Linked DNA regions of Anolis sagrei. The protein of the gene in region 1 interacts with the protein of each later gene in a pairwise test. Links are inferred from orthologs where the notes say so. Each region holds a gene or a part of one and is shown in the gene's direction. Other genes may lie near its edges.

The links.
Region 2: the proteins of CCNDBP1 (region 1) and myelin P2 protein-like interact in binary tests that used the Homo sapiens proteins (3 or more experiments, as listed by UniProt). The two-hybrid records come from large-scale screens. The link is inferred for Anolis sagrei from reciprocal best matches to the Homo sapiens genes CCNDBP1 and PMP2.
Region 3: the proteins of CCNDBP1 (region 1) and ZGPAT interact in binary tests that used the Homo sapiens proteins (3 or more experiments, as listed by UniProt). The two-hybrid records come from large-scale screens. The link is inferred for Anolis sagrei from reciprocal best matches to the Homo sapiens genes CCNDBP1 and ZGPAT.
Region 4: the proteins of CCNDBP1 (region 1) and STK25 interact in binary tests that used the Homo sapiens proteins (3 or more experiments, as listed by UniProt). The two-hybrid records come from large-scale screens. The link is inferred for Anolis sagrei from reciprocal best matches to the Homo sapiens genes CCNDBP1 and STK25.

The regions. Positions count from the first base shown.
Region 1 is NC_090024.1:247,310,415-247,317,859, reverse strand, and holds the start of CCNDBP1 (cyclin-D1-binding protein 1), read left to right. Parts: upstream 1-4,142; 5' UTR 4,143-4,341; coding exon 4,342-4,405; intron 4,406-4,487; coding exon 4,488-4,601; intron 4,602-4,710; coding exon 4,711-4,790; intron 4,791-7,445. UniProt on the Homo sapiens protein: May negatively regulate cell cycle progression. May act at least in part via inhibition of the cyclin-D1/CDK4 complex, thereby preventing phosphorylation of RB1 and blocking E2F-dependent transcription.
Region 2 is NC_090024.1:39,057,087-39,064,925, forward strand, and holds the start of myelin P2 protein-like, read left to right. Parts: upstream 1-4,568; 5' UTR 4,569-4,679; coding exon 4,680-4,752; intron 4,753-6,711; coding exon 6,712-6,884; intron 6,885-7,839.
Region 3 is NC_090024.1:238,898,401-238,906,670, reverse strand, and holds the start of ZGPAT (zinc finger CCCH-type with G patch domain-containing protein), read left to right. Parts: upstream 1-5,093; 5' UTR 5,094-5,185; intron 5,186-8,270. UniProt on the Homo sapiens protein: Transcription repressor that specifically binds the 5'-GGAG[GA]A[GA]A-3' consensus sequence. Represses transcription by recruiting the chromatin multiprotein complex NuRD to target promoters.
Region 4 is NC_090023.1:226,719,420-226,727,616, forward strand, and holds the start of STK25 (serine/threonine-protein kinase 25), read left to right. Parts: upstream 1-4,897; 5' UTR 4,898-5,035; intron 5,036-7,774; 5' UTR 7,775-7,855; coding exon 7,856-7,885; intron 7,886-8,197. UniProt on the Homo sapiens protein: Oxidant stress-activated serine/threonine kinase that may play a role in the response to environmental stress.

The DNA.
Region 1 (7,445 bases):
ATGTTCAGATGGAATCTCCTCTCTTGTAGTTTGAAGCCATTTGTTTTGTGTCCTAGTCTCCAGGGAAGCAGAAAACAAGCTTGCTCCCTCCTCCTCCCTGTGGCTTCCTCTCACATATTTATACATGGCTATCATATCTCCTCTCAGCCTTCTCTTCTTCAGGCTAAACATGCCCAGTTCCCTAAGCCGCTCCTCATAGGGCTTGTTCTCCAGACCCTTGATCATTTTAGTCGCCCTCCTCTGGACACATTCCAGCTTGTCAATATCTCTCTTGAATTGTGGTGCCCAGAAGTGGACACAATATTCCAGGTAAAGTGGTCTAACCAAAGCGGAATAGAGCATGGTGAGCATGACTTCCCTGGAGCTAGACACTAGGCTCCTCTTGATGCAGGCCAAAATCCCATTGGCTTTTTTTGCCGCCACATCACATTCCTGGCTCATGTTTACCTTCCTCCCCACGAGGACTCCAAGATCTTTTTCACACGTACTGCTCTCGAGCCAGGCATTGTCCCCCATTCTGTCTCTTTGCATTTCATTTTTTCTGCCAAAGTGGAGTATCTTGCATTTGTCCCTGTTGAACTTCATTTTGTTAGTTTTGGCCCATCTCTCTAATCAAGATCGTTTTGAATCCTGCTCCTGTCCTCTGGACTATTGGCTATCCCTCCCAATTTGGTGTCGTCTGCAAACTTGATGATCATGCCTTCTAACCCTTCATCTAAGTCATTAATAAAGATGTTGAACAGGACCGGGCCCAGGACGGAACCCTGCGGCACTCCGCTCGTCACTTCTTTCTAAGATGAAGAGGAAGCATTAGTGAGCACTCTCTGTGTTCGTCCACTTAACCAACTCCTTTGGATGCAGCCCATAATCCCATTGGCTTTTTTAGCTGCTGCACCACACTCTTGGCTCATGTTCGGTTTGCCCTCCATGAAGACTCCAACCAAGGTCTTTTCCCCATGTAACTCTTGTCAAGCCAGCCGTCACCCATCTTTGCATTTCTGCCAAAGTGTCGTATCTTACATTTGTCCTAGTTGAGATTCATTTTGTTGATTTTGGCCAATTGGCTCTCTGATTTGTTGAGGTCATTTTGAATCCTGATCCTGTCCTCTGGAATATTAGGTCTCCCTCCTAATTGGGTGTCATCTGAAAACTTGATAAACATAGGTAAAGGTAAAGGTAGTCCCCTGACATTAAGTCCAGTCATGTCTGACTCTAAGCTGAAGAGCCAGCGTTGTCCGTAGACACCTCCAAGGTCATGTGGCCGGCATGACTGCATGGAGCACCGTTACCTTCCCGCTGGAGCGGTACCTATTGATCTACTCGTTGATAAACTACTATTGATAAACATACCTAGAGGTAAACCAAGAATGGGCAACTTGGAAGTCCCTGAACAGACTCAGAAGTGGAGTTAGCAGATCAAAAGACAACCACTGCCTAGAAGAATCCTCCACCTTGTGCGAGTGTGGAGCAGAACAAACAACTCAGCATCCGCATGCTTGTCCAGAATGCCCTGCCTCATGCACAGAGGGAAAATTCTTTAAAGCTGCCGACATTGCGGTTGCTGTTGCCCAGTTTTGGTCAAAAATTCTTTAACCGCTTTGTTGTGGTTTATCAGTCTATGTGGAAGCTACTCAGCAGTCTTCCCAGCCCCAGCCCTCTGTTGATTCACACAGTCAGAGTAAAAGGGAAAACAAAATTTACCCTTGAGTAGTACGCAGAGGCGGCCCTAGGTAATTTTCAATGGTAAGCAAACAGTATTTTGGTGCCTCCTCCCCCCCCCCCACCCAATCATTGATATATATTTTCTGTTCGTCGTGGGAGTTCTGTGTGCCCTATTTGGTTCAGTTCCATCATTGGTGGAGTTCAGAATGCTCTTTGATTGTAGGCGAACTATACATCCCAGTAACTACACTTGCCGCACTTGCTCCCTTGCCTGGCCCGCTTTGGGTCTGGAGGCGTGCCTGAAGACCCCAGTGTGTGCACCAAAAGTCACCTCTTCTCCTGACTTTCTCCTCAGCCATTGGGACCGAGAGAGAGAAAGAGAGAGAGAGAGAGGTGGAGATGCCCACCTTTCCTGAAGGTAGGTGCAAAAACAAAGGAGGGAGCGGAGGTGGGAGATACTTCCAGCCGGAGGGGCTCTCTCTCTCTCTCTCTCTCTTGGTCCCAATGGCTGAAGAGAAAGTCAGGAGAAGAGGTGACTTTTGGTGCGCACGCTGGGGTCTTCAGACACGCCTCTGGACCCGAAACGAGAGAGGAGAGGAGGCGGGTGGAGTGCCGGGGGATCAGGAAAGGGAGCCAGTCATGGGGAAGGGATCGAACACGGAGAACGATTGAGCGCCGGCTCTGCTCGCGCACCCGCTGGCCAGGTGGAGCAGGAACGAGAGGGGCTAGGCGAGGCTCAAGGGCCCGGCCCCTTTGGGAAGAGGATCGCCCGGCAGCGAGGCAAGGAAGCTGAGGCTCCCCCCGGACTGCTAGGGCTGTTGTGAGCTGAGGGGGTGCTCCTCAAGTGGCGGTCGAGGGGCATTTACAGAGGCGCCTCTGCGCCCCTGGCAAAAAAAAAGTGTTCTGCGACCGCTTACTTCACGTAATGGACGAGCCGCCCCTGGTAGTCAGAGATCAATATGCAGCTTTACAAAATAACCAGCCTTGAAAATAAACTCAGTCCATTGCAGAAAATAACTCGCACAAAGTCCAATGCATTAAAACCGTGCATTCTCTGTTTCTTCAATGCTGCAAGGAGTCTTGTAGCAAATGGTCCAGACCTTCAGCAAGTCCTGTAGTAAGTCCATGGTAGAATGACCATCAGCATGGAAGTCCCATCATTTCTCTCCATGAACGACTGTCTTCATGATCTGAATGCTCCTCATGATATACTCCTTGCAGGGAGTGGCTCAAGCTTGATTGCTTAATTGTCCAGGTGTTCTTCCTCAACACGCACCCATACAGGAGATGATCCTTGTGAAGACTTAGCATACATATGCACACCCTGTAATACGCTTGCATTAACTCTATTTTTAATCAGTTTTATACTTATTCATGCAATGCTTTGGAAATGAAATAAATAAACTTTCATCCAAGTCATGAATTGTTGCAGCCTGGTCAGGGTCTGAGTACTCGGAGGATGAGGAAGGGGAGGCTGGGATGCACCCTCAGGGGGCATGAACATCACTCAAGGGGTGGAGTTTCCTGTCAAAGGCGGGGCTTGTAGCCCGATGGGCGGGGCTTCCTCTCAAAATGCGGGGCCTTCAGCTGTAGGGCGGGGCTTCCCCTCAGAGGAATTCCACTCAAGGGGAGGGGCTTCCTCTCAATCAGCGGGGCTTACTTTGTGGTGGGCGGGGCTTCCTCTCAATGGGCGGGGCCTTCAGCTGAAGGGCGGGGCTTCCCCTCAAGGGCATGAATTCCACTCAAAGGGGAGGAGCTTAAAGCCTGGGGGCGGGGCTTCCCCTCAAAGGGAGGGGCCTTCAGCTGAAGGGCGGGGCTTCCCCTCAAGGGCATGAATTCCACTCAAAGGGGAGGAGCTTAAAGCCTGGGGGCGGGGCTTCCCCTCAAAGGGAGGGGCCTTCAGCTGAAGGGCGGGGCTTCCCCTCAGGGGGCATGAATAATACCCAAGGGGGCGGGGCTTCCTCTCAAAGGCGGGGCTTGCAGCCAGATGGGCGGGGCTTGCGGCTGAAGGGCGGGGCTTCCCCTCAGGGGTCATGAATAATACCCCCAAGGGGCGGGGCTTCCTCTCAAGGGCGGGGCTTGTAACCAAATGGGCGGGACCTGCGGCTGAAGGGCGGAGCTTCCCCTCAGGGGTATGAATACTATTCCAGGGGGCGGGGCTTCCTCTCAAGGGCGGGGCTTGTAGCCGGAGAGGCGGGGCTTCCCCTCAGGGGGCATGAATAATACCCAAGGGGGCGGGGCTTCCTCTCAAAGGCGGGGCTTGTAGCCAGATGGGCGGGGCCTGCGGCTGAAGGGCGGGGCTTCCCCTCAGGGGGCATGAATATTCAAGAGGGCGGGGCCTATAGCCTGGGGGCGGGGCTTCCTCTCAGGGGGCACGAATACTATTCAAGGGGGCGGGGCTTCCTCTCAAAGGTGGGGCTTGTAGCCAGATGGGCGGGGCCTGCGGCTGAAGGGCGGGGCTTCCCCTCAGGGGGCGGGGCTACCTCTTGGGCGTTTCCAGGGCAACCGTCGCCCTCCTCCCGGAGGACCATAAAATCCCAGCCTCGGCCTGGACTCGAGGCCCAGGGACAGTGAAAACACGGGACAGGAAGTGCGTCACCTGCCTTACCCCAGGACTTCCGGCTCCCCTACGGAAGCCGGAGTGCGGGGGCCTGGAGCTGTTTCGCTTGGGAGTCCGCGATGTCGTGCCCGCCGCTGGAGGCGCTGCGCGGGGGCCTGGAGGCGGCGCTGTCGGGGCTGAGAGGTGAGGGCCCTTCCTTCCTTTCGGGAGGGATGGAGAGAGAGGGGGCGCTCTGCACGCGCTCAGGGGCACGCTTGTCTCGCAGGCGGAGAGGCCGGGCGGAGCGGCGACGGAAGCCGAGAGGAGCCAGAAGAGCAGCAGCAGCAGCACGAAGAAAAAGAGGCCGCCTTCGACCCCGGAGGCTTCTGGGATGCCCTGGGTAGGTAGCCAGGGGGGAGGTCTCTCTCTGGGGCGCCTCTCTATGGCCTTGGAGGACTTCTTTCTCTCACTCTCACTCTCTGTCTCCCTCCTTCCTCCTCCTCCTGCAGGGGGCGCCTTCGAGGCAGCCAGCCGAGAAGCTTCCGCCCTGAGCCTCGCCTTGGCCCGCCCACCGCCGCCGCCCCGCCAGGTGGGTCCTTCCGGGAGAGGGAAGGGGGTCCCCCAAAGGCCATCTAGTCCAGCCCCCTTTATTTATTCCGCCATTCTGCAGGAAGAGCACCATCAGAGCCCTCCCCACAGATGGACACCCAACCTCTGCTTAAGAATAATTATTATTATTATTATTATTATAGACTGCTTCACCATCATAGCAATAATAGAATCCTAGAATTGGGAGCCCCAAGGGTCATCCAGTCCAGCCCCTTATCTTCTTCCAGGCAGGAAAAGCACAGTCAAAGCCCTCCCAACAGATACTCATCATGCCTCTGAATAATAATAATAATAATAATAATAATAATAATAGTAGAATCCTAGTGTGGGAAAGGAACCCCAAAGGTCATCCAGTCCAGCCCTCTTTATTCTTTCAGGGAGGAAAAGCACAATCAAAGCTACCCTGATAGATGGCCATCCAGCTCCTGTTTACTACTACTACTACTACTAATAATAATAGAATCTTAGAATTGGAAGGGAACCCCAAAGGTCATCCAGTCCAGCCCCCTTAATCCCGCCATTCTGCAGGAAGAGCACCATCAGAGCCCTCCCCACAGATGGCCACCCAACTTCTGCTTAATAATAATAATAATAATAATAATAAGACTCTGCTTCACCATCATAACAATAATAGAATCCTAGAATTGGAAGGGAGCCCCAAAGGTCATCCAGCCCAGCCCTCTTTATTCTTTCAGGGAGGAAAAGCACAGTCAAAGCCCTCCCAACAGATACTCATTATGCCTCTGAATAATAATAATAATAATAATAGGGGAAGAATAATAATATCACCATCATAGCAATAATAGAATCCTAGAGTGGGAAAGGAACCCCAAGGGTCATCCAGTCCAGCCCTCTTTATTCTTTCAGGGAGGAAAAGCACAATCAAAGCTACCCTGATAGATGGCCATCCAGCCCCTGTTTAATAATAATAATAGAATCTTAGAATTTGAAGGGAACCCCAAAGGTCATCTAGTCCAGCCCCCTTTACTCTGCCATTTTGCAGGAAAAGCACCATCAGAGCCCTCCCGGTAGATGGCCACCCAACCTCTGCTTCATAATAATAATAATAGTAATAATAATAATAATAATAATAGAATCCTAAAATGGGAAAGGAACTCCAAAGGTCATCCAGTCCAGCCCTCTTTATTCTTTCAGGGAGGAAAAGCACAATCAAAGCTACCCTGATAGATGGCCATCCAGCTCCTGTTTAATAATAATAATAACAATAATAATAACAATAGAATCTTAGAATTGGAAGGGAACCCCAAAGGTCATCTAGTCCAGCCCCCCTTTATTCCGCCATTCTGCAGGAAGAGCACCATCAGAGTCCTCTGGACAGATGGCCACTCAACCTCTGCTTCATCATCATAACAATGGAATTCTAGTGTTGGAAGGGACCCCCAAAGGTCATCCAGCCCAGCCCCTTATCTTCTGCCAGGCAGGAAAAGTACAATCAAAGCCCTCCTGACAGATAGTCATCATGCCTTTGAATAATAATAATAATAATAATAATAATAATAATAGTTGTTTGATACTCATGTTAGGTGCCTTTTTGATTCATGATTCAAGTTTTGGAATTTTACTTTGGACGTTTCTATATTTGTTTTTCATGAACTCTGATGGATTCATTTCCTAGACTATTTGATCCTGCTTATCTTTCTGCTTATCTTAGATTTACCTATTTTGTTCATTCGTTTCGTCGCTTCCAACTCTTTGTGACTTCCTGGATCATCCCAAGCCAGAGCTCCTTGTCAGCCGTCCCCACCCCTCTCTTATTATTGCAAAGGCTGGATGGCCATCTGTTGGGGGTGCTTTTCCTGTATGGCAGAATAGAGGGGGTTGGACTGGATGTCCCCTGGAGTTTTCCATTGAAATACTGTTAAGTTTATGTTGGTCAAAAAGTTTGCCCATGCCACACACATTATATATACTGTATATATATATATAATATATAATGGGCCTTAAGAAGCATTGCTAACAACAAGGCAACAGGAGACGACGGGATCCCAGCTGAACTGTTTAAAATCTTAAAAGATGATGCTGTCAAGGTGATGCATGCCATTTGCCAGACAGAGGTCCTCCTGGTCAGTCGCAAGGCCGAACAGGGCATAGGGTTACAGCCTGTGTTGGATGGGGCCGCACTCCCCCTGAAGACTCAGGTTCGCAGCTTGGGTGTGACCCTGGACTCATCCCTGAGCCTGGAACCCCAGGTTTCGGCGGTGACCAGGGGAGCATTTGCACAGCTAAAGCTTGTGCGCCAGCTGCGCCCGTACCTTGGGAAGTCTGACTAGGCCACGGTAGTCCACGCTCTGGTTACATCCCGTTTAGACTACTGCAACGCTCTCTACGTGGGGTTGCCTTTGAAGACAGCTCGGAAGCTCCAACTAGTCCAACGCTCGGCAGCCATGATTTTAACAGGAGCGGAGCGCAGGGAGCATACAACCCCCCTGTTGCGCCAACTCCACTGGCTACCGATCTGCTACCGGGCTGAATTCAAAGTGCTGGCGTTGGCCTTTAAAGCCCTAAACGGTTCCGGCCCAAGATACCTATCTGACCGCATCTCTGCCTATGAACCCACCAGGAGTTTGAGATCTTCCGGGGAGACCCTGCTCTCGATCCCGCCTGCTTCTCAAGC
Region 2 (7,839 bases), about 210 Mb from region 1:
AGCATAAGTATTTGTGGGCTATAGCACTTTTGATGACTGAAAAGCAGTCAGTAGCAAAAAAAAAAGCAGGTGTCTTGTGATTAACCAACTTACTTCAGCGTGAATTCTCTGTAGCAAGGAACATTAAAATCATGTGTGCATTCTTGCAGTCTGGAGAAGTTACTAGATAATTTACAGGCTCATTCTTTAAGGATTACTACTGTGAAGGCTGGAACATCAAAATATGGGAATGGAATAAATGCTGGTTCTCAACCTGTGGGTCCCCAGATGTTTTGGCCTTCAACTCCCAGAAATTCTAACAGCTGGTAAACTGGCTGGGATTTCTGGGAGTTGTAGGCCAAAGCACCTGGAGACCCACAGGTTGAGAATCATTGTGCTAAAGGAACCAAGACTTACCACATAGACAAAAAGTTGCCCCCCTCTTCTATTTGGAATAACAAAAACTAATTTGCCATGTTATCAAACTTGTAAAATTAGTGAAACATGCCTCCTTTATACAAGAAAGATACAGCAGATTAACCTGAATTAACTAGGTGAAACATGTTTTACAAGACAGCTCCAAGGATGAAACGAGCTCATCTGTATGGGAGAGCCATAACTTGGGAGACAACACATATAAGGCATACATTCAATTCCTGACATCTTGGTTTATCATGGGTGTGGATGGGAAAAGTTTTGGTGGTCTGGTGCCAATCTGATAGTCAGTAACTGGGCCAGTAATAGTCTGATTTTATATAGATACAATGCTGCTGTATACCATCTCTCTGTGGAAGATAACATCGGACAATGTATCTGAATGAAGAACTTTATACCCTCCAACAACTCTTCCAATTTGGAAGGGACAGACTTGATTTATTATTGTTTATCATTTCTAACCACCCTCTCTCCTGGTAGGGACTCGGGGCGGTTTACATATATATAAAACAGGCAAACATTCAATGCCATGCTAAAAATCACAATGAAAAATAAAAAATATTAATGAACTTATTACCAAAAAGAATTACAGTTAGCATAATGAGAAATACATATCTCTATCTATACACATAATAAAAGTTAAAATGTGTGTATGTGGCCGAGCTATCTACTTATTTATTTATTTATTTATTTGCTTTATTTCTATACCGCATTTTTCAGCCCAAAAAGGCGACTCAATGCGGTTTACAGGTACAAATTATCATAACAATGTCAGTGCAATTAAAAATACAACAAATATAACAACAGGATCAACAACACCGATCCACAACAATTAACAAACAACATGAAACAAACATAGCGCCTCAATGAAATCAGATCCGATCTCATAATCCTTGTATCATTCCTATGTTCCATTTACCGTCTTCCTATGTTCGGTTGCACTGTTAACCAAACGCTTGTTCATAAAGCCAGGTCTTGACCTTTCTCCGAAATGCCAGCAATGATGGTGCCTGTCTGATGTCTACCGGTAAGGCATTCCATAGCCGAGGGGCCACCACTGAAAAGGCCCTGTCTCTCGTCCCCGCTAAGCGTGCTTGTGACGCAGCCGGGAGCGAGAGCAGGGCCTCCCCAGACGATCTTAATGTTCTAGTCGGTTCATAGGTGGAGATGCGTTCAGAGAGGTAAGTGGGGCCAGAACCGTTTAGGGCTTTATAGGCTAAAGCCAGCACCTTGAATTGTGCCCGGTAGCAGATTGGCAGCCAGTGGAGCTGGCTCAGCAGAGGAGTGGTACGCTCCCTGAGTGCCGCTCCCGTTAGCAACCTGGCTGCCGAGCGCTGGACCATCTGAAGCTTCCGGGCAGTCTTCAAGGGCAACCCCACGTAGAGCGCGTTGCAGTAATCAATGCGGGATGTAACCAGAGCGTGGACTACCGTGGCCAAGTCAGACTTACACAGATAGCCTCTGGCCTCCACAAACAGGCTGTAGTTCCAAGTTCTGAAAAGCCTCCAAAGGCATTCCCTCCACTGACATTGCAGGTTAGAGCAAGCTCCATGAACATGTAACCCAACCCCCGCAATGTCCTCCCCAAACACCAACCACCCAAGGAATGCTGTCAAGTGGTAGTTCTCCTTTCTGTATGCTAAGGTACATAAGTGAGTTTTCAGAACTTTTTTTGAAGGAGAGGGGGGCAGGGGCCATTTTAATTTTTTAGGAATGGAGTTCCAGAGATGGGGAGTGATCACAGAAAAGGCCCCCTCTTGTTACCACCAGTCTTGCTTGTGATGAGGGTGGAACCGAGAGCAGGGCCTCCTCTGCTGACTGCAGTGCACAAGATGGTTTATATAGGGAAATGCGGTTAGACACATAGCCTGGACCTGAACCATTTAATCATCTGTTGTACCACTCCTTACCTACTTTGAAAACATCCGTTTTATCCCCTGTTCCTCAGTATATCTCAGTTATTACAAACTTCAGAATACAAAAGTGGTTCATACTCAACTCATTAAGCAGTCATTTCCAATGGTCTTGCCCTTCCTAGTAGATTCAGGGAAAAGTTAACTGTTGTAATCTCTCCTGCCTTCTCTGTTATTTTGGGTTTTTTTTAACTGCTGCCATTTTGACCATGTTTTGATATTGCTTGGCATCACATGTCCAAATGTTCATCACATTTGGGAGGAATGTGTATTCTCTAGGTGGAGGATTTGCTTCCCATGAACTACCTTGTAATTTAAAAATAAGAAAAGCCAAAAGCTATGTTCCACCTTTCTTGCTTCTGCCTTAATGCTTAAGCATATGTAGCTAAACTCAGTCCATAGAATGTGAGGCTATGGTACATCCCCATCAAAACAAAATAGTTTATTAAACTAACCCTGCTTTCCCACACTACCACTATTCCATTTTTTACTTTTTATTTTTAGAATAATTCTGCAACTTCACCTTGAAAAAAACCCCAAAAAAGCAAAAAAACAACAACCAGAAAATATAAAATAAAAGGAAAACAGACAGCTTGGGAATGTAAAGGGGAGGGAGGAGAGGGGGTGCATGGGACCTGTTGATGGTTTTATCTGTTAATACCTAGGGATGGTAAAATCATGGAGAGGAGACCGACGAGAAGGAGTATGCATTGCAAAGGGCAAAATGGACCATCATCACAAGTGGCAGTCCAGGGCAGTGCTGATTTGTTTGCCTCATGCCTCCTACAAAGCATCTTTAGAGTCAAGACAAGCTGAGATAATGTCATTCTGGATTTAACCAGTGCTATCTGCTCACTGTCACCAATTTTATTGATCTGACAGAACAAGATTGGGACTCCAAATGTTATTGCATTGCAACTCCCAGTATTCTGAGGTCTGCAGTCTGACAACATCTAAAGAATCATATTTCAAGCACCTGTGTGTTAAAGGTACATGGAAATGATGAAACAAATAGCCCTCAATCTGGTGCCCTGTGTTTTGGATTAAAATGTTCAGCATTCCTGATCTTTGCCCTTGCTGACTGGAATGGATGGAGGTTAAACATCTAGGGTCAACCAAATAGAGGAGAGCATTTTAGACACACCAAGATGCCTTGAAGAGAGAACATTAACAACAATATACTTTCAAAAACACTTACTCAAGGAAAGCAACAAAAGAGAAGAGCACAATTAAACAAGTTGTAACCAATTTTGGTATATGGTGTGAACGTTTCAATAATACAGTTTGTGAAATAAGAGTTGGGAGATCTCTAAGGGTACATCAGTAATTTTTAAAGTTTGAAATTATGTTCATGTTTTATTAATAATCTCAGGCCTCCCTGCCATACAGACCATCAGAGTGCTGTTACCATTTGGGTCCAGGGTTATATTGCGTACCAATCATGGAATAAAGAGACCAGACACAGGTAATTGGGTTAAACGAGGGCCACTTTATTTTACCTAAAACCTATTTATGCTGCACTCAACCTGGAGAGGAGCAAGAGGGAAAAGCAAGTTGACTCTTGACTACTTTGTCTTCCTCTGGACAAAACACCTGAGAGTTTTAGAAGACTGTAAGAGTTTTCGGAGATCATAAGGGCCATCTAGTCCAACTCTTGCTGTGCAAAAATGCACATCTACAGCATTCCTTTCAAAGATGGAGGGTATACCACCCACCAAGGCAATTTCTTCTCTCTCTCTGTCTCTCAGTTTTAAAGATTTTATTATGCTCCTGGAGCAGGCATTCTTCTGTTTAACTTTTTTTGGCAAGAATTTTCCACAAGGCCTGGGTTAAAGAAAGAAGGGCTGGATAAGGCATTGTTGTAACTCAGAGGGCATATTTTCCTACACATTGCCCATCATTATTCTATATATTCCTCATGGTCAGTTCATTTCCCTTTCCATTCTGAATACAAGGCCTTTACTCTTCTCTTGAATACATGCCATCTCATCCTCATGAAACCCTCCTAAAAACCCAATATTGTTCTCCATGGTGGCATTGTGTACAGGACCTTTCTTCCGGCATAATAGAAGCTAGCTTTCCCCATCAGTCTCCAAAGTGTTCTGACTTTGTGTCATAGTGGAGGAGTTGGTGGCTGGCAAATGCGGCCAGCCTTGGTACTGAGATGAATGGCTTGGGACAAGATGCCCATTGTTTTGCCTCTGACGTTGCCCCTCTGCATTGGGTGGCCCTGAACTCTACGTATTCTGGGCCTCTTCTTAAAAGACGGTGGGCTTTCACAACCCTGCTGCCTGAGAACTACTCTTGTCACACCATTCTCCCAAGGAAACACTGCCTAGCAAAACTCATACAATGTGCAAGAAATTTGTTGGATCCTGGAAACTTGTTTCTAGTGAAAACTTTGATGATTACATGAAAGAATTGGGTGAGTTTTGGTTTGATTTCACTGGGAAATTTTCTTTGTTGTCCTTTTGTTCCTTCATTTCTTCTGAGAGCCTTTTGTGCTTATTGTCAAACTTTTAATCTAAGCATTTGAAGAAAGTTTAAAAACAGAAGATAAATTTGTCATTTTTTGTCTCTTACTAACCACATTCAGAATTTTCTTCTTCCTTTTCTGTTTCGTTCTTGTTGCTTTCCTTTTCCTTTGTATGAGAAATAAATAAATTGCTTATTTATTATTATTATTTTCTTCTGAAGATGGTCCTGGTACATTTTAATTCTACAGAAATACTCACAGTATTTTTTTTACATAGCTTACATAATGGTTGTTGTTGCTGTGTCACTATTATTATTTCACCTACTTCTTTGTAGTCCTGCTATATATATATATATATATATAATTGATTGAGTTTAGATGTGGGTTAAACTGCTGAGCTACTGAACTTGCTGACCAAAAAGTCAAGGTTTGAATCCAGGGAGTGGCATGAGCTCCTGCTGTTAGCCCCAGCTTCTACCAACCTAACAGTTCGAAAACATGCAAATGTGAGTAGTTCAATAGGTACCGTTCCAGTGGGAAGGTAACAGTGCTCCATGCAGTCATGCTGGCCACATGACCTTGGAGGCGTCTATGAACAATGCTGGCTCTTCAGCTTAGAAATGGAGATGAGCACCAACTCCCGGAGTCGGACACGACTGGACTTAATTTCAGAGGAAAACCTTTACCTTTACCTTAGACATAGCCATGTGTGCTTCCACTTGCTTTTACATATATGTCTTCTGTACTTAACATTGTCAATATCATTCAAAATAGGAGTGTATTATTTTGTATCAACAGCTACTTGAGCATGGTAAACAAACTGAATTATTAACACAGTGAGGACAGAAAACTAATTCTTGTCACTTGCTGACACATGTTCCTGTTCTCTTTAAATATATAGATGTGTACCTTTTTGCTTGTTTATTTATCTATTTAATGCATAGTCTTTTTCCCCAATATGAAACTACTTTAAATGCATTATTTTTTCAAATGCCTGGTAGGCAAACGCCACAGGGAGGAAGGTGATTGCTTGATGCAGCAGATGCTGTTTCTCCTGGACTCCACATCTTTCGCCTCTGCAGCACTGTTGTATTGCACTTAAAGTAGTCTGAAACATTACTGAAGTGGTAGACATGGATTTTTCTGTAAAGGCAATATATGCATTCAGCTATGAGAATTCATGTACGAAATGCTCAAAATATTGCCATGCGCATTAATAAACATACAGGCTTTTGGTATATAGGGAAACTAAAACATCATATAAAAGTAACTCCTTTTTGTACTGATATTTTTTTTCTAACCTTGATCGTCTGTCAATTATGACCTTTCTTTTAAAACATGGTCCAAACATGGTAATAGGCAGTTTTTATGTTTCTTCCAGATTACACTATGTAACAAAATTGTTGTTTTTTTCCTGTTCCTGGTTTGAACGTATTATTTCCTGATTCATTGTGTGGTACTTACATTGAAAGTAGTTGCTATACTTTAGAAACTTCATTTTTGTGCCTCAAACTATGTTGAATTGGTTGTGACGCTATAAAATATTTATCGAAAACTATAGCCCAATGTGTTGCAGGATACCCCACAAAAACAGAGTTTTTGCATTTAATAATCTCTTTCCATATTTTTTTATGATAGAACCAATTAGGAAATGACATTTATAATCCCAGAACAAAAGTTGTGTTACATAGTGTTATTTGAGGCCATCTGTATTCTACTTACTAAAAGATAATTTTAAAGGGTAAAGCTTGGTGTTTTGTAGCCCCTTACTTGTATACCTAACTTATTCACTCCTTTCCCCTTTTGTGCTTTTCAAGGATATTTTAAGAGCCATGTATTTTTGCAGTGTGTAAGATATATTTTCTTGCCAAATGAAGTATAATGTGGTTTTCTGTGTCCTTCATTTAGGGGTGGGGTTGGCCACCAGGAAACTTGGCAGTTTGGCCAAACCCAGAGTCATCATCAGTGTGAAGGGTGACCAGATGACAATCAGAACTGAAAGCACCTTCAAAAATACCCAGATCACTTTTAAGTTGGGCCAGGAATTTCAGGAGACCACAGCAGATGACAGGAAAACCAAGGTGATGGGTCATCACTCTCTTCCACTAGACTTGCTATTGTTTTCTCAAACTTGAGCAACCAGAGTTATTTTGTCCTTTGAACAGCGCTGGAAGGTTTCACATCAGCTTACTTGCTTTTCTTATTTAGGCGATCCTTCACTGTCCGAGAATGAAGCCTTTTCAAGAGTAGTGTCTCAGCAGTGGATACGTAGGTGACTGTGGAGACCTATTCATGACCCGCATGTTCAGAAGCACTTTAGTTTATGGCTCGTGCAATTAAATCCCTTCTCATCCCGGCTCCCCATCATGACAATCCTACATTGCCTATCTCCCATTGTTTTTACATTTTTAATTTTTTATTCTGAAGCGGCCCTGCCCTGTGGAATATTTTGTGTTTGATGTTTGATTGTATATTGCTGTGTGTGTGTGTGTGTGTGTGTATAGTTTTTTGCATTTTATGTTTTGTGTATACTGTTGTTTATTGTGTTCATGGGCATGGCCTCATGTAAGCTGCCCCGAGTCCCCTTGGGGGAGATGGAGTGGGGTATAAATAAAGTATTATTATTATTATTATTCCACAGTGAGGGCATTGGTTTCCAGGTGGAAGGCAGTCCTGGTCAGGGTTGGCTTGACATGCCTTCCTCTTGGCACGTTTCTCCCTTTTGCTCTCCATTAGTGCCTCTTCAAATTCCACAGCACTGCTGGTCACAGTTGACCTCCAGTTAAAACACTCAAGGGCCAGGGCTTCACAGTTCTCAGTATCTATGCCACAGTTTTTAAGGTTAGCTTTAAGCCCATCTTTAAAAGCGACAAGAAAATGGTCACTTTCTTCACTTAGGCTTGCTATTGTTTTCCCAAACAGAAATCAGAGCTATTTTGTCCTTTGAATAGCACTGGAAGCTTTCACATCAGCAGCCACAGCCAAACAAACTTGCTAGGTGGAATATAGCCAATTTAGGTCCTTCTAATACAAAGC
Region 3 (8,270 bases), about 8.4 Mb from region 1:
CGCTGTGACGGTCTGGATGAGGGCGAACAAATTGAAATTGAATCCAGACAAGACAGAGGTACTCCTGGTCAGTCGCAAGGCCGAACAGGGCATAGAGTTACAGCCTGTGTTAGACGGGGTCGCACTCCCCCTGAAGACGCAGGTTCGCAGCTTGGGTGTGACCCTGGACTCATCGCTGAGCCTGGAACCCCAGGTTTCGGCGGTGACCAGGGGAGCATTTGCACAGCTAAAGCTTGTGCGCCAGCTGCGCCCGTATCTCGGGAAGTCTGACTTGGCCATGGCAGTCCACGCTCTGGTTACATCCCGTTTAGACTACTGCAACGCTCTCTACGTGGGGTTGTCTTTGAAGACAGCTCGGAAGCTCCAACTAGTCCAACACTCGGCAGCCATGATTTTAACAGGAGCGGAGCGCAGGGAGCATACAACCCCCCTGTTGCGCCAACTCCACTGGCAACTGATCTGCTACCGGGCTGAATTCAAAGTGCTGGCGTTGGCCTTTAAAGCCCTAAACGGTTCCGGCCCAAGCTACCTATCTGACTGCATCTCTGCCTATGAACCCACCAGGACTTTGAGATCTTCCGGGGAGACCCTGCTCTCGATCCCGCCTGCTTCTCAAGCTCGGCTGGCGGGGACGAGAGATAGGGCCTTCTCGGTGGTGGCTCCTCGGCTGTGGAACGCCCTTCCTACAGACATTAGACTAGCACCATCTCTAATGGTATTCCGCAAAAAGGTGAAGACCTGGATGTATGTGCAGGCGTTTGAGTAATTTAGTGCAATCTGGTAATGGAACATAGGAATGGAACAATGGACAACGAACCTGGACTACGCTTGGATGATGAGAAGATTGGGTACGGTTGTTTTTTGTAATAATTGTGCATTGTAATTGCTTATTGGTAATTTATGGATAATGTGTTAAGTCAATTGTTATATGTTGTATGGAACCACTGCTGTTTCTACTGTTTTTACTGTTTGTGAACCGCTGTGAGTCGCCTTCGGGCTTGAGATACAGCGGTATATAAGCAAAGTAAATAAATAAATAAATAAATATATCCAAGCCTTCTCCCAAAATAAGATCCCAACACACTTTACTCACAACTGCCATTCAAACTTGAGTGAAAACAGAAACCTTAACTAATGTAGTTGTTTCCAGATTAAGATGGAAACTAGTATTTAATGTAGCCTAGCTGCTTGTAAACAGAAGGTGGATGGAGAGCAGAGGGGGAGCCTGCATACCATAAATACTGATAGAGAATTGTTAATTAACTACTGTATATACTCAAGTATAAGCATAGTTTTTCAGCCCCTTTTTCAGCCTGAAAAAGCTTCCCTCGGCTTATATTCGAGTCAAGATTATTTATTATCTTACTCTATTATTAGTATGATTTTTATTACATTTATTAATTTACTCTATTATTATTACTACTATTTTATTACGTTTATTATTTTTCTCTATTTATTATTATTATTATTACATTTATTATTTTCTCTATTTGTTATTATTATTACACTTATTATTTTACTCTATTATTGTTTTGATTACATTTATTACATTTATTTATTTATTTACTGTATTTGTATACCGCCTTTCTCAGCCCATAGGCGACTCAAGGCAGTTAACAGGGTAAAATTCAATGCTTACAATATCATAAATACAATTAGAAGCATAACATATAATAAAAATTAACATATCAATAACATATAAATTTATAGTGTATCCTTGTTAAAAACATTGTCCGGTCTCATTGTTGCCATTTATTATTTTATTCTTACATTTATTATTTTACTTTATTATTATTGTTATTATTATGATACATTTAGATTATTCTACTCTGTTTTTTTAAAATATTGGTAGCCAGATTTTGTTCATTTTCATGGTTTCTTCCTTTCTGTTGAAATTGTCTACATCCTTGTGGATTTCAATGGCTTCTCTGTGTAGTCTGACATGGTGGTTGTGAGAGTGGTCCAGCATTTCTGTGTTCTCAAATAATATGCTGTGTCCAGGTTGGTTCATCAGGTGCTCTGCTATGGCTGACTACACAGAGAAGCCATTGAAATCCACAAGAAGCATGTGGACAATTTCAACAGAAAGGAGGAAACCATGAAAATGAACAAAATCTGGCTACCGGTATTAAAAAAAACTCTAAAATTACAACAGCAAAACAACAGAGCCAGACTACTAACGGGAGCGGGGTACAGGGAGCATACTACTCCTCTGTTGCGCCAGCTCCACTGGCTGCCAGTCAGCTTCCGAGCACAATTCAAAGTGCTGGTCTTAACCTATAAAGCCCTAAACGACTCCAGCCCAATTTACCTGTCCAAACGTATCCTCCCCTAGGAGCCACCAAGATTGCTAAGATCGTCTGGAGGGGCCCTGCTCTCAATCCCACCGGCCTCACAGGCGCGGCTGGTGGGGACGAGAGACAGGGCCTTCTCGGTGGTGGCCCCTCGACTCTGGAACTCCCTTCCACTGGAGATCAGAACTGACCCTTCTATCTTAACGTTCAGGAAACAGGTGAAAACTTGGCTTTGGGGATTGGCATTCGACGAATGAGCCATGATCCTGTGATATGGATGGATGACGACGAATAATGACTTTTGATGACGACTGACCCCTGTAATTATATGATTGTATTTTGCTATTTTAATGTTTTAGTGTGATTTAGAAAATGATGTTTTAATGACTGTCTGTAATATTGATGTTGGAAACTGGCCTGAGTCCGTCGAACAGAGGTGAGAAGACCGGTATACAAAACTGCTAAATAAATAATAAATAAATAATAATCACCTCTCAACAAAAGATTGCCCCAGGCACTGCCAGGCCATCAAATGCTAATCAAGGTGGTCAGTTGAAACATTCACACCTAGCTCCAACAGACAAGAGTCCTTTGTCCCCACCCTGGTCATTCCACAGATATATAAACCCATTTTCCTAGTTCCAACTACCTCTGAGGATGCTTGCCATAGATGCAGGCGAAACGTCAGGAGAGAATGCCTCTAGAACATGGCAACCTATTATTATTGTAATTTATCTATTATTATTATTATAATAGTGCAGAGTGCACCTTTTATGAGATTCACCTCACAGCAAAACCTTATACTTTTAACTTTATTTTTATAAATTATACTAGCTGTCCCTTGCCACGTGTTGCTGTGGCCCAGTCTGGAGATCTGGAAAATAAAGTAATGAGAAAGTGTTGGTTTCTAATATATGTAATTCCTTGATGCTTGTGAGTAAACAGTATTTCTTGTTGTTTCTTTGTCAGTGTTGATGGGGAGAGTGTCTGGTTTGCCTACTCTGGAATATGCAACATATCATAGTCCTTCTTTAAGGGTCTCTTTCAAATCTGTGATACTATATCTGTGTGTGTGAGAGAGAGAATCATATCTATCTATGTATATTTATGTCTGGATGGCTCTTTGTCAGGAGGGCTCTGATTACATTTTCTTGCCCTGGTGAAGAGAGTTGGACTGGATGGCCTTAAGTAATTTCTGTTGGTCATGGGGGTTCTGTGTGGGAAGATTGCCCCATTTCTGTTGTTTGTGGGTTTCAGAATGCTCCTTAATTGTAGTGAACTATAAATCCCAGTAACTGCAAATCCCAAATGTCAAGGTCTATTTCCTCCAAACTCCATCTGTGTGCATATTTAGGCATATGGAATTTTTGCGTCAAGTTTGGTCCAGATCCATCATTGTTTGAGTCCACAGTGCTCTCTGGATGTAGGTGAACTACAACTCCCAAACTCAAGGTCAATGCCCACCAAACCCTTCCAGTGTGTTTTGTTGGTCATGGAAGTCCTGCATGCCATGTTTGGTTCAATTCTATCATTGGTGGAGTTCAGAATGCTCTTTGATTATAGGTGAACTATAAATCCCAGTAAGTACAAATCCTAAATGTCAAGGTCTATTTCCCACAAACTCCATCTGTGTTCATATTTGGGCATATTGCATATTCGTGCCAGGTTTGATCCAGATCCATCATTGTTTGAGTCCACAGTGCTCTCTGGATGTAGGTGAACTACAACTCCCAAACTCAAGGTCAATGCCCACCAAACCCTTCCAGTGTGTTGGTCATGGAAGTCCTGTATGCCATGTTTGGTTCAATTGTATCATTGGTGGAGTTCATAATGCTCTTTGATTGTAGGTGAACTATAAATCCCAACAAGTACAACTCCCAAATGTCAAGGTCTATTTTCCCCAAACTCCATCTGTGTTTATATCTGGGCAGATTGAGTATTTGTGCCAGGTTTGGTCCAGGTCCATCACTGTTTGAGTCCACAGTGCTCTCTAGATGTAGGTGAACTACAACTCCCAAACTCAACATCAATGCCCATCAAACCTTTCTAGTGTTGTCTGTTGGTCAGGGGAGTCCTGTGTGTCAAGTGTGGTTCAATTCCATCATTGATGGAGTTCAGAATGCTCTTTGATTGTAGGTGAATTATAAATCCCAGCAACTACAACTTCCAAATGACAAAACCATAATGTTTTGAGTGATGGTCACTCCTTGTGTAGTGAGACGTTTTGTTGCCAAATTTGGTGTGATTTCGTTCATTGATTCTTTTGTTTTTAAGGTACTCATTATGCACAGAGCATTTTTATATATACAAATAGATATATTGTATTAATTTCCCATAAAATGCAGCTATATTTCCTATTAAAAGAATAACAACACATAAGCACACCAAACAGTTCTCAAGCATCCTCTAATTCTCCCTTCCCTTTTACAAAAATACTTTTAAAACATAAAATATATATTAAATAGAGTAAGAACAGCCCTGAGGCCTTGAAGAAGGAGACAAACTCACCCCAGGCCAAGCTCTCTCAGGCTGCTTCCCCTTTAGAACGCAGAGCATCCCGGGAAATGGAGTCCCCGCCCTGCCCGACGTCCCTTAGGCACGCCTTCCCCTTCGCCTCGAAAGAAACTACCCTTCCCGAAATGCACCGCGCCGCCTTGACGCTTCTCCCCGCTTGGCTCCTTGCGGCCATGAAGAACCACAGAGAGGGAAAGGCTAGAGGGGGCTTTAACGTAATCCAAGATGGCGGCAAACGCTCGGTTAAGGAAGCTTCCTGCTTTGTGGGGACTTGTCTAGCAAAGCGGAAGTGGCCGTGTTTGTGTGCCAGTGGAGGCCGGAAGAGGAGGATGGTGGCTGAGGGATGCTGAGAAAGGAAAAGAGAGAAGTTCTGCTGAGTTGAGTTGCTCTTGGTGGCCTTTGGAGTAATTGATATATCTATTATTAATGCATAATATGTAACATATAACACATATATTTATATTATATATATTATATATTGTAATAATATATACAGTAATAGATATATAATATATTATATATTATATATATAATCTTAGATATATAATATATAATAATATTATCTATATTATTAGATATATTAGACAGTAATAGCTATATAATATTGTATATATTTATATATTACTATATTATATATTATTATAATAATATTATATACAGTAATAAGATATATAATATATATTATATATATAATCTTATATATATAATATATATCTAATAATGTTAAATTTAATTTATCTATATTATTAGATATATTAGACAGTAATAGATATATTATATATATTATATATATATTATATATATAATCATAGATATATAATATCTAATAATATTATATATAATTTTATCTATATTATTAGATATATTAGGCAGTAATAAATATATAATATTATATATATTTATATATTAATATATGTTATATATTATAATAATATTATATACAGTAATAGATATATAATATATTATATATTATATATATTATATATATAATCTTAGATATATAATATATATCTAATAATATTATATATAATTTATCTATATTATTAGATATATTGGACAGTAATAGATATATAATGTTATATATCTATAATCTTAGATATACATAATATATACTTAATAATATTATATATAATTTTATCTATTGTTGTTGTTCATTCGTTCAGTCATCTCCGACTCTTCGTGACCTCATGGACCAGCCCACGCCAGAGCTCCCTGTCGGCCGTCACCACCCCCAGCTCCTTCAAGGTCAGTCCAGTCACTTCAAGGATGCCATCCATCCATCTTGCCCTTGGTCGGCCCCTCTTCCTTTGACCTTCCACTTTCCCCAGCATCATTGTCTTCTCCAAGCTTTCCTGTCTCCTCATGATGTGGCCAAAGGACTTCAACTTTGTCTCTAGTCTCCTTCCCTCCAATGAGCAGCCGGGCTTTATTTCCTGGAGGATGGACTGGTTGGATCTTCTCGCAGTCCAAGGCACTCTCAGCACTTTCCTCCAACACCACAGCTCAAAAGCATCTCTCTTCCTTCGCTCAGCCTTCCCTAAGGTCCAGATCTCACATCCGTAGGTTACTACAGGGAATACCATGGCTTTGACTAGGCGGATCTTTGTTGCCAGTCTGATGTCTCTACTCTTCACTATTTTATCGAGACTGGACATTGCTCTCCTCCCAAGAAGTAAGCGTCTTCTGATTTCCTGGCTACAGTCTGCATCTGCAGTAATCTTTGCACCTAGAAATACAAAGTCTGTCACGGCCTCCACGGTTTCTCCCTCTATTTTCCAGTTGTCAATCATTCTTGTTGCCATAATCTTGGTTTTTTTGATGTTTAGCTGCAACCCGGCTTTTGCGCTTTCTTCTTTCACCTTGATTAGAAGGCTCCTCAGCTCCTCCTCGCTTTCGGCCATCAGAGTGGTGTCATCTGCATATCTGAGGTTGTTAATGTTTCTTCCACCAATTTTCACCCCAGCTTTGCATTCATCCAGCCCCGCACATCACATGATGTGTTCTGCATACAAGTTAAAAAGGTTGGGTGAGAGGATGCAGCCTTGCCGTACGCCTTTCCCAATCTTGAACCAGTCTGTTGTTCCGTGGTCAGTTCTGACTGTTGCTACTTGGTCCTTGTACAGATTCCTCAGGAGAGAGACAAGGTGGCTTGGTATGCCCATCCCACCAAGAACTTGCCACAATTTATTATGATCCACACAGTCAAAGGCTTTAGAATAGTCAATGAAGCAGAAGTAGATGTTTTTCTGAAACTCCCTGCCTTTCTCCATTATCCAGCGGATATTGGCAATCTGGTCTCTCGTTCCTCTGCCTTTTCTAAACCCAGCTTGAACGTCTGGCCACTCTCGCTCCATGTCTGTCTGGAGTCTTCCTTGCAGGATCTTGAGCATTACCTTACTGGCATGAGAAATAAGGGCCACTGACGGAAGTCTCTGATGTCTCTACTCTTTACTATTTTATTGAGATTGAACATTGCTCTCTCCCAAGAAGTAAGCGTCTTCTGATTTCCTGGCCACAGTCTGCATCTGCAGTAATCTTTGCACCTAGAAATGCAAAGTCTGTCACGGCCTCCACCTTCTTCTCCCTCTATTTTCCAGTTGTCAATCATTCTTGTTGCCATAATCTTGGTTTTTTTTTAATGTTTAGCTGCAACCCAGCTTTTGCGCTTTCTTCTTTCACCTTGGTTAGAAGGCTCCCCAGCTCCTCCTCGCTTTCGGCCATCAAAGTGGTGTCATCTGCATATCTGAGGTTGTTAATGTTTCCTCCAGCAATTTTCACCCCAGCCTTGCATTCATCAAGCCCCGCACATCCTCGCATGATGTGTTCTGCATACAAGTTGAAAAGGTTGGGTGAGAGGATGCAGCCTTGCCGTACGCCTTTCCCAATCTTGAACCAGTCTGTTGTTCCGTGGTCAGTTCTGACTGTTGCTACTTGGTCCTTATACAGATTCCTCAGGAGAGAGGGAAGGGGGCTTGGGATGCCCATCCCACCAAGAACTTGCCACAGTTTATTATGATCTACACAGTCAAAGGCTTTAGAACAGTCAATGAAGCTGAAAGAGATGTTTTTCTGAAACTCCCTGCCTTTCTCCATTATCCAGCGGATATTGGCAATCTGGTCTCTCGTTCCTCTGCCTTTTCTAAACCCAGCTTGTACATCTGGCAACTCTCTCTCCATGTATTGCTGGAGTCTTCCTTGCAGGATCTTGAGCATTACCTTACTGGCATGAGAAATAAGGGCCACCGTACGGAAGTTGGAGCAGTCTTTCGCATTTCCCTTTTTTGGTATGGGGATATAAGTTGATTTTTTCCAGTCTGATGGCCATTCTTGTGTTTTCCATATTTGCTGGCATATGGCATGCATCACCTTGACAGCATCATCTTTTAAGATTTTAAACAGTTCAGCTGGGATCCCGTCATCTCCTGCTGCCTTATTGTTAGCAATGCTTCTTAAGGCCCATTC
Region 4 (8,197 bases), on another chromosome or scaffold:
AGACTCCTGGTAATGTCTTCAAGTGTAATAGATTAAGGACAATCCCAGTTGCTCACGGCTTATTCATCATATACAGAGAAAACTCGAACATCAAGACAGAAACCCAGATCAAGATGAAACATGTGGATTACTCTTTCTCATTTATTTAGACATAAATAATATTAATTCTAGACTCCTTGTTTCTAACTGAAAGGCAAATGCAGCAGAGCAAAGCTTGAGTGAATCCTAGCATCACAATAATTATTATATTATTATAGTCATTTATATACTGTTTTTTTTTTCTCTAAAAGGGAGGGGAGAAGGAAACTAACTCAAATAGCTACATAGATCCCCTGGAAAGTGTTCACAAGTTGCAGGAACCAGTCCATTCAGCCTTGCAAAATAGCCGCAAGAGTCTGGTCTTCTAGCTGAGGTTGCAGGCTGCATGCAATCCTTTCTGCTTCCCTGGAGCTGAGCTCACCAAAACTGGAGAAATTGCACCATTGTCTTCTGTCTGGAAGATGACGCATGGAAACCAGAGAGCCAGGGTTAGGATTTGAAATCTGGTTCTAACCATTACAGGCATAAATCAGGCCTGTAATGGTATTCCATAACTATGCTTCCATAGCAGAGGAGGTGCTCTCCCACATTAATGCTTTGTAGACTTGGCGCCATCAGGATGGGGACCCTTGGAATACAAAAGTGGGATCAGAAAGGTTGAATCAAGTTGACACCACAAAGAGTCAGTGACATCAAGACCAACTGTTGGTGATTAAGAAATGACATGTTTTTGTGCTATAAATCCTGTCCCAGATGGCAAAACAAATGTTGTTATACAATACATTCATATCACAGTGTCCAACACACATTTTCATACCTGAAATTTTATACCTGCTTCTGGGTATATTTGACCTGCTGGTTCTAAAAATTGCACCAGTTTCCCCCTACCGGCTCTAATTTTTGAGATACAGAACATATGCCATCTACCAGAGCTTAGCACAACAGGCTAAACCACTGTGTTGCAGAAAAATACTGCCGATCAGAAGGTCAACAGTTCGAGCCCAGGTCAGGGTTAAGTACCTTTGGTTAGCCCCAGCCCACCTAGCAGGTTGAAAGCAGAAATGCGAGTAGATAAAATAGGTACTGCTTTTAGCGGAGAGAAGTGCTCTTAAAGACATCCTTGGCATGGAAGATGGAGCAACAGTACACCCCCCCTCCCCCCCACACACACACAGCTGGTCAAGCACAGCCTCAAAGATGCCGGAAATAAGATGGGAAAAACTGCCTTTACCTCTGTTGTGTTGTCTGTTCTTGTTATCGTATAATCGGTATTGAATGTTTGCCGTATGTATGTTCTATAAAGCCACTCTGAGTCCTCTTTGGGGTGAGAAGGGCGGAGTATAAATATTGTAAATAATACCAGTTGCTATCTCTTCACTCATAGAAAACCATGATTTTTGTTGTTTATTCATTCAGTCGCTTCCGACTCTTCGTGACCTCATGGACCAGCCCACACCAGAGCTCCCTGTCGGCTGTCACCACCCCCATCTCCTTCAAGGTCAAGTCAGTCACTTCAAGGATATCATGCATCCATCTTGCTCTTGGTCAGTCTCTCTTCCTTTTTCCTTCCATTTTCCCCAGCATAATTGTCTTCTCTAAGCTTTCCTATCTTCTCATTATGTGGCCAGAGTACTTCACCTTTGCCTCTAATATTCTTCCCTCCAATGAGCAGTCGGACCTTATTTCTTGAAGTATAGACTGGTTGGATCTTCTTGCAGTCCAAGGCACACACATACATACACAATACTTACTCTCACACAAAACTTTAATACAGAACGTAGGCTGCTATAGCAATTAGCAGAAGGGTATGTAAAACTAAAGGTTTTCTACTGATAGGCAGGGCCAGATTCACGGATATTTTTTTTAAAAATTTTAAAACACTGGGAGATAGGACATTGTAAATTATAGGGAGGAGGCTCTGGGAATGAGGAAGGATTTCATTGCACAAACCATAAAATAAAGTGCTTTTAAGGACATTTTGCGCAAAATGTGGTCAGGGAGAATCTTACATTAAATTACTGAAAGGCACATTGGAATAACCAGGTTTTCAAATTCCTCCTGAAGATTGCCAGTGTGGGGGCTTGCCTAATATCTCTGGGGAGTGAGTTCCAGAGCTGAGGGGCCACCACAGAGAAGGCCCTCAACAGAAGGGTAGGTAAAGGTTTTCCCCGGCATTAAGTCCAGTCGTGTCCAACTCTGGGGTGTGGTGCTTATCTCCATTTCTAAGCCGAAGATCTGGCATTGTCTGTAGACACCTCCAAGGTCATGTGGCCGGCATGACTGCATAGAGCGCTGTTACCTTCCCACCGGAGTGGTACCTATTGATCTACTCACATTTGCATGTTTTTGAACTGCTAGGTTGGCAGAAGCTGTGGCTGACAGCAGAAGCTCGCGCCGCTCCCCGGTCAACAAGCTCAGCGCTTTAACCCACAGTGCCACCGGGGGCTCCTCAACAGAAGTGTGCCAAAGGTCAAATAAACATAAAGGCATTTATATCAGTTAGTACTGAACTATCATAGTGTTGACATTCTTGGGAATTTTCGTACAATTTCCTTTCAACCACTTGAGCAATCGGACCCCACCCTTTCTGTAAACTAAGAACCAGCCATTCTGGCCAAAGCAACTTTACCTATTCTTTTGGGTTTTATCTAAACCAAATGAAGCGTAAACAAAGGTTGGAGATAGGCACCGCACCTGCCTGCCTGGTTGGGTAATCCAGCCAGATGTATGCAGCCAAGCCTTTGCTGACGGTTTGTTCAATAACACAGGCACTCTTGTCTAGAATCATAGAGTTGGAAGAGACCTCATGGGCCATCCAGTCCAACCCCCTGACAAGAAGCAGGAAAACTGCATTCAAAGCACTCCCGACAGATGGCCATCCAGCATCTGGGTTGTTGTAGGTTTTTTTGGGCTATATGGCCATGTTCTAGAGGCATTCTCTCCTGACGTTTCACCTGCATCTATGGCAAGCATCCTCAGAGGTTGTGAGGTCTGTTGGAACTAGGAAAATTGCGTTTATATATCTCTGGAATGACCAGGATGGGACAAAGAACTCTTGTCTGCTGGAGCTAGGTGTGAATGTTTCAACTGACCACCTTGATTAGCATTTGATGGCCTGGCTGTTGTTTGGTGTAGCTTGTTAGTGCCTGGGGGAATCTTTTGTTGAGAGGTGATTAGCTGTCCCTGATTGTTTTCTCTCTGTTGTTTTGCTGTTGTAATTGTAGAGTTTTTTTAAATACTGGTAGCCAGATTTTGTTCATTTTCATGGTTTTCCCCTTTCTGTTGAAATTGTCCACATGCTTATAGATTTCAGTGGCTTCTCTGTGTAGTCTGACATGGCGGTTGTGAGAGTGGTCCAGCATTTTTGTGTTCTCAAATAATATGCTGTGTCCCAAACACGAATCAAGGAACATGAAAGGCACTGCAGACTAATTCAACCAGAGAAGTCAGCCATAGCAGAGCACCTGATGAACCAACCTGGACACAGCATAGTATTTGAAAACACAGAAATGCTGGACCACTCTGACAACCACCATGTCAGGCTACACAGGGAAGCCATTGAAATCCACAATCCTGTGGACAATTTCAAGAGAAAGGAGGAAACCATGAAAATGAACAAAATCTGGCTACCAGTATTTAAAAAACTCTAAAATCAGGACAGTAAATAAAGAGAAAGATGAATTCCAGACAGAAAACAATCAGGGCCAGCTAACATATCCCAACAAAGGATTCCCCCAGAAATGCTGTATTCTCAAATAATATGCCTCTAGAACATTGTCATATAGCCCGAAAAACCCCACAACAACCCAGTGATTCCAGCCATGAAAGCCTTTGACAATACATCCAGCCTCTGGGTTGTTGTAGGTTTTTTCGGGCTATATGGCCATGGTCTAGAGGCATTTTCTCCTGACGTTTCGCCTGCATCTATGAGAAGCATCCTCAGAGGTAGTGAGGTCCTCACAACCTCTGAGGATGCTTACCATAGATGCAGGCGAAACGTCAGGAGAAAATGCCTCTAGACCATGGCCATATAGCCCGAAAAAACATACAACAACCCAGTGATTCCGGCCATAAAAGCCTTCGACAATACATCCAGCCTCTGTTTAAAAGCTTCCAAAGAAGAAGCCTCCACCACACTCTGGGGCAGAGAGTTCCACTGCTGAACAGGTCTCACAGTCAGGATGTTCAGATGTTATTTCCTTTATTGTAGTGTGAAGCCATTGTTCCGCGTCCTAGTCTCCAGGGCAGCAGAAAACAAGCTTGCTCCCTCCTCCCTGTGACTTCCTCTCACATATTTATACATGGCTATCATGTCTCCTCTCAGCCTTCTCTTCTTCAGGGTAAACATGGTCAGCTCTTTAAGCCGCTCCTCATAGGGCTTGTTCTCCAGACCCTTGAACTGCTCCCTCCTCCCTATGACTTCCTCTCACATATTTATACATGGCCCTCATCATGTCTCCTCTCAGTCTTCTCTTCTTCGGCTCTTTAAGCCGCTCCTCATAGGGCTTGTTCTCCAGACCCTTGATCATTTTAGTCGCCCTCCTCTGGACACATTCCAGCTTGCTGAAGTCCAAAACACCTGGAGGGCCTAAGTCGGTCCAGGCCTAATGTAGATACATTCTAGCCTGGAGGAGGCATTCTTTGAGAGAGGATAGATAGAGGATGTGCCTCTGTTTGTGTCTCCTCACAAACTCTCTTTCCCAGACACCTCCGCGCCTCTGGAGAGGCTGGCCGCGGATTGTCGCAATGCACGCCGGTTATTGCAGTCCCTGCTCCACTATATCCTAACGGAAGCTCGGAAGAGAAGAACTACCTTTCCCAGAAAGCCTCGTTCTGGGATAGGTTCCTGCGCATGCCTGTTTGCGCTCCCGCTCCTTTCCCCCCTCCCTCCTTGCCTGCCTGCCGCCCTTGCCGTTTGCTGTTCCCGAGTTCTCTCAGTATCCTGGGCTGGTCGAGAGCGGAGGGAGGATGGACGGGACGGAACAGCGGGGCTCAGGTGAGAGGAGAAGGAGAACGGCAATGGAACGCGGCTGGCTCGGCGCGGAGGGAGGGTGGCGGGACAGCAGCAGCAGCCCGTTGCCATGGCAAGGTGTCTCCAAGGGGCTGGGTGGAGCTCTCTCTCTCTCACTGAGGTGGGGGCAGGCCCATTGCGTCACTGCCATGGGGGGGGATTCGAACCTCTGTGGACTATACCATCTGATTGAGGGACGGGGGACGACCAATAGATTCTATCCCATTCATCAGAAATTATTATTATTATTATTATTATTATTATTATTATTTTAAAAGGTATTATTATTATATCTGTAATCATATATATATATTGTATCAATGTATCTATAAGGCTAAAACTCTTGTACTAATTCAGGCTGCATCTACAGCAGGCCTGGCCAACTTGGGCCCTCCAGGTAATTTGGACTACAACTCCCACAATTCCTAACAGCCTAGCGGCTGTTAGGAATTGTGGGAGTTGTAGTCCAAATCACCTGGAGGGCCCAAGTTGGCCCAGGCCTGATCTACAGTGTATACAGTTTGACTCAGTTGAATTTCCATGGCTCAGTGGTATGGAGTCGTGGGAGTTGTAGTTGCTCAAAGGTCTTTCTCTGCCAAAAAGTGCTGGTGCCCCACCAAAACAACAATTTCCATTATTCTATTGCATTGAGCCATGGCAGTTAAAAGTGGTCCCAAACTGCATTAATTGTACTGTGTAGGCGCAGCCATTGGTTCCATCCTGGAATTCGTAGCTCAAGATTATCTCCAGAGCCCCTCCCTCCAGCAAAAATATAGTAATATCTATATAAATAAAAATGTAATGTCAGTTTGTGGGATTAACGTAACTCAAAAACCACTGGCCGAATTGACACCAAATTTGGACACAGTATACCTATCAGGGCAACGAGTGACCAACACTGAAAAACACAGCGGAAGAGACTTAAAAAGCCAAAAAATAAAAATACATTACAATGAATGCGCAAAACCACATTTATACATATATACACACAAAACACATATACACAGACTGGGCCACAGCAACGCGTGGCAGGGGACGGCTAGTATAATACTAATTTTGTGCTGTGGTAATATTATAATGTATTATATGTGTATATATATCTATATCTTGTAAGCTGCTCTGAGTCCCCTTCGGGGTGAGAAGGTTGGCATATATATGTTGTATATAAATAAATAAATTTGTGCTATAACCATATATACACACACAAAATACATATACACACAGACTGGGCCACAGCAACGCATGGCAGGAGATGGCTAGTATTATAATATACTAGCCGTCCCCTGCCACACATTGCTGTGGCCCAGTCTCTGTATATGTTTTGTTTGCGTTTATATGTGTGTGTGTATATGTGTATATATGTGGTTTTGCGCATGCGTTGTAATGTAAATTTTTTTGGCTTTTTGAGTCCCTTCCACTGTGTTTTTCAGTGTTTTTATGAGTGATGGTCACTCGTTGGCCTGATAGGTGTCTTGTGTTCAAATTTGGTGTTGTCCAGTGGTTTTTGAGTTATGCTAATCCCACAAATGAACATTAGATTTTTATTTATATAGATTGTATACACATCGAATATTGATAATAATATTATCATATCATACACTATAATACTAATAATAATACAATGTAATAGTTATATAGTTATATATAATAGTTATATAGTTATATATTTTATATTACATGTAATATTACTAATCATATTACAGTATAGTGGTATAGTACAATATAGTAATATAGAATACTAATATTGTGCTGTGCTAATATTATAATATATTGTGTACACATATAATATTGATAATAATGTTATCATGTAATATAATACTAATACAATATAATTATTTTATATTTCATATTACATGTAATATTAGTAATAATGTTACAGTACAGTGGTATAGTACAATATAGTAATATATAATACTAACATTGTGCTGTGCTAATATTATAATATATTGTATAAACATATAACAATGATAATATTATAATGTAATACAATATAATACTAATAATAATACAATATAATAATTACATATTTTATATTACATGTAATATTACTAATAATATTATAGTATAGTGGTATAGTACAATATAGTAATATATAATACTAATATTGTGCTGTGCTAGTAATGTAATATATTGTATACACATAGAATATTGATAATACTATAATATAATACAACATAATACTAATAGTAATACAATATAATAATTTTATACTTCATAATACATGTGATATTACTAATAATATTACAGTAGAGTGGTATAGTAAATATAATAATATATAATACTAATATTGTGATGTTCTAGTAATGTAATATATTGTATGTACAGGTATCTTGTAAGCCGCTCTCAAGTCCCCTTCGGGGTGAGAAGGGTGGGATATAATTGTTATTATTATTATTATTATTATTAATAATAATAATAATAATAACAACAACAACAACAACAATAATAAACTGTGTTATTCCATACGATGTTGCTGTGGCAATTAAAGTGTTGTCATTGTTCGGTGTGAGACATTTTTTGGTGCAGAAGTTTGTATTAATCCCAAGATGGAAGTAGCCCATTGGAAGTACTAGTCGTCTATTATTATTATTATTATTATTATTATTATTACTACCCTGTTTTCTCTCTCTTCAAAGCAGCTCTTTTATCTTTTAAGGTGGCAATTTAAATAAGAGCCTTTCAGCGTGATTCAATTGTATTTCCCCCCCTATGTTTTGTTCATAGTGTAAGTGATCCCAACAAGAGACAGAAAACCCTCTTCTGTTTGAGAGGACTGGTGCATGGGTCTTGTGCCAATCTCCAGCCATGGCTCACCTGAGGGAATTTGCCAACCAGGTAAGCGAGAATTACGGAAACCTGGGGTCCGTGGGCCACCAGTAGTTCACAAGAACAAAAATATGGTTCGCAACCTCACCGTTACTACATAATTGCCTTGAAACCACATGGCAACAAGAGCGAATGGCCTTGTGAAACCCTTTTATAGTGCCGAGGCAACTGGGATGTTGGGAGGGGGGATGCTGACTAAAGATTTATACTACCACATCAGCTCTAGATTATTAAATATGGTTTTCTGCAGGAGAGCAGAGGACGACTACTGGATAGCATGTGTTTTATATCAGAAACTTGAGCCAATGTGGTTTATCCAAT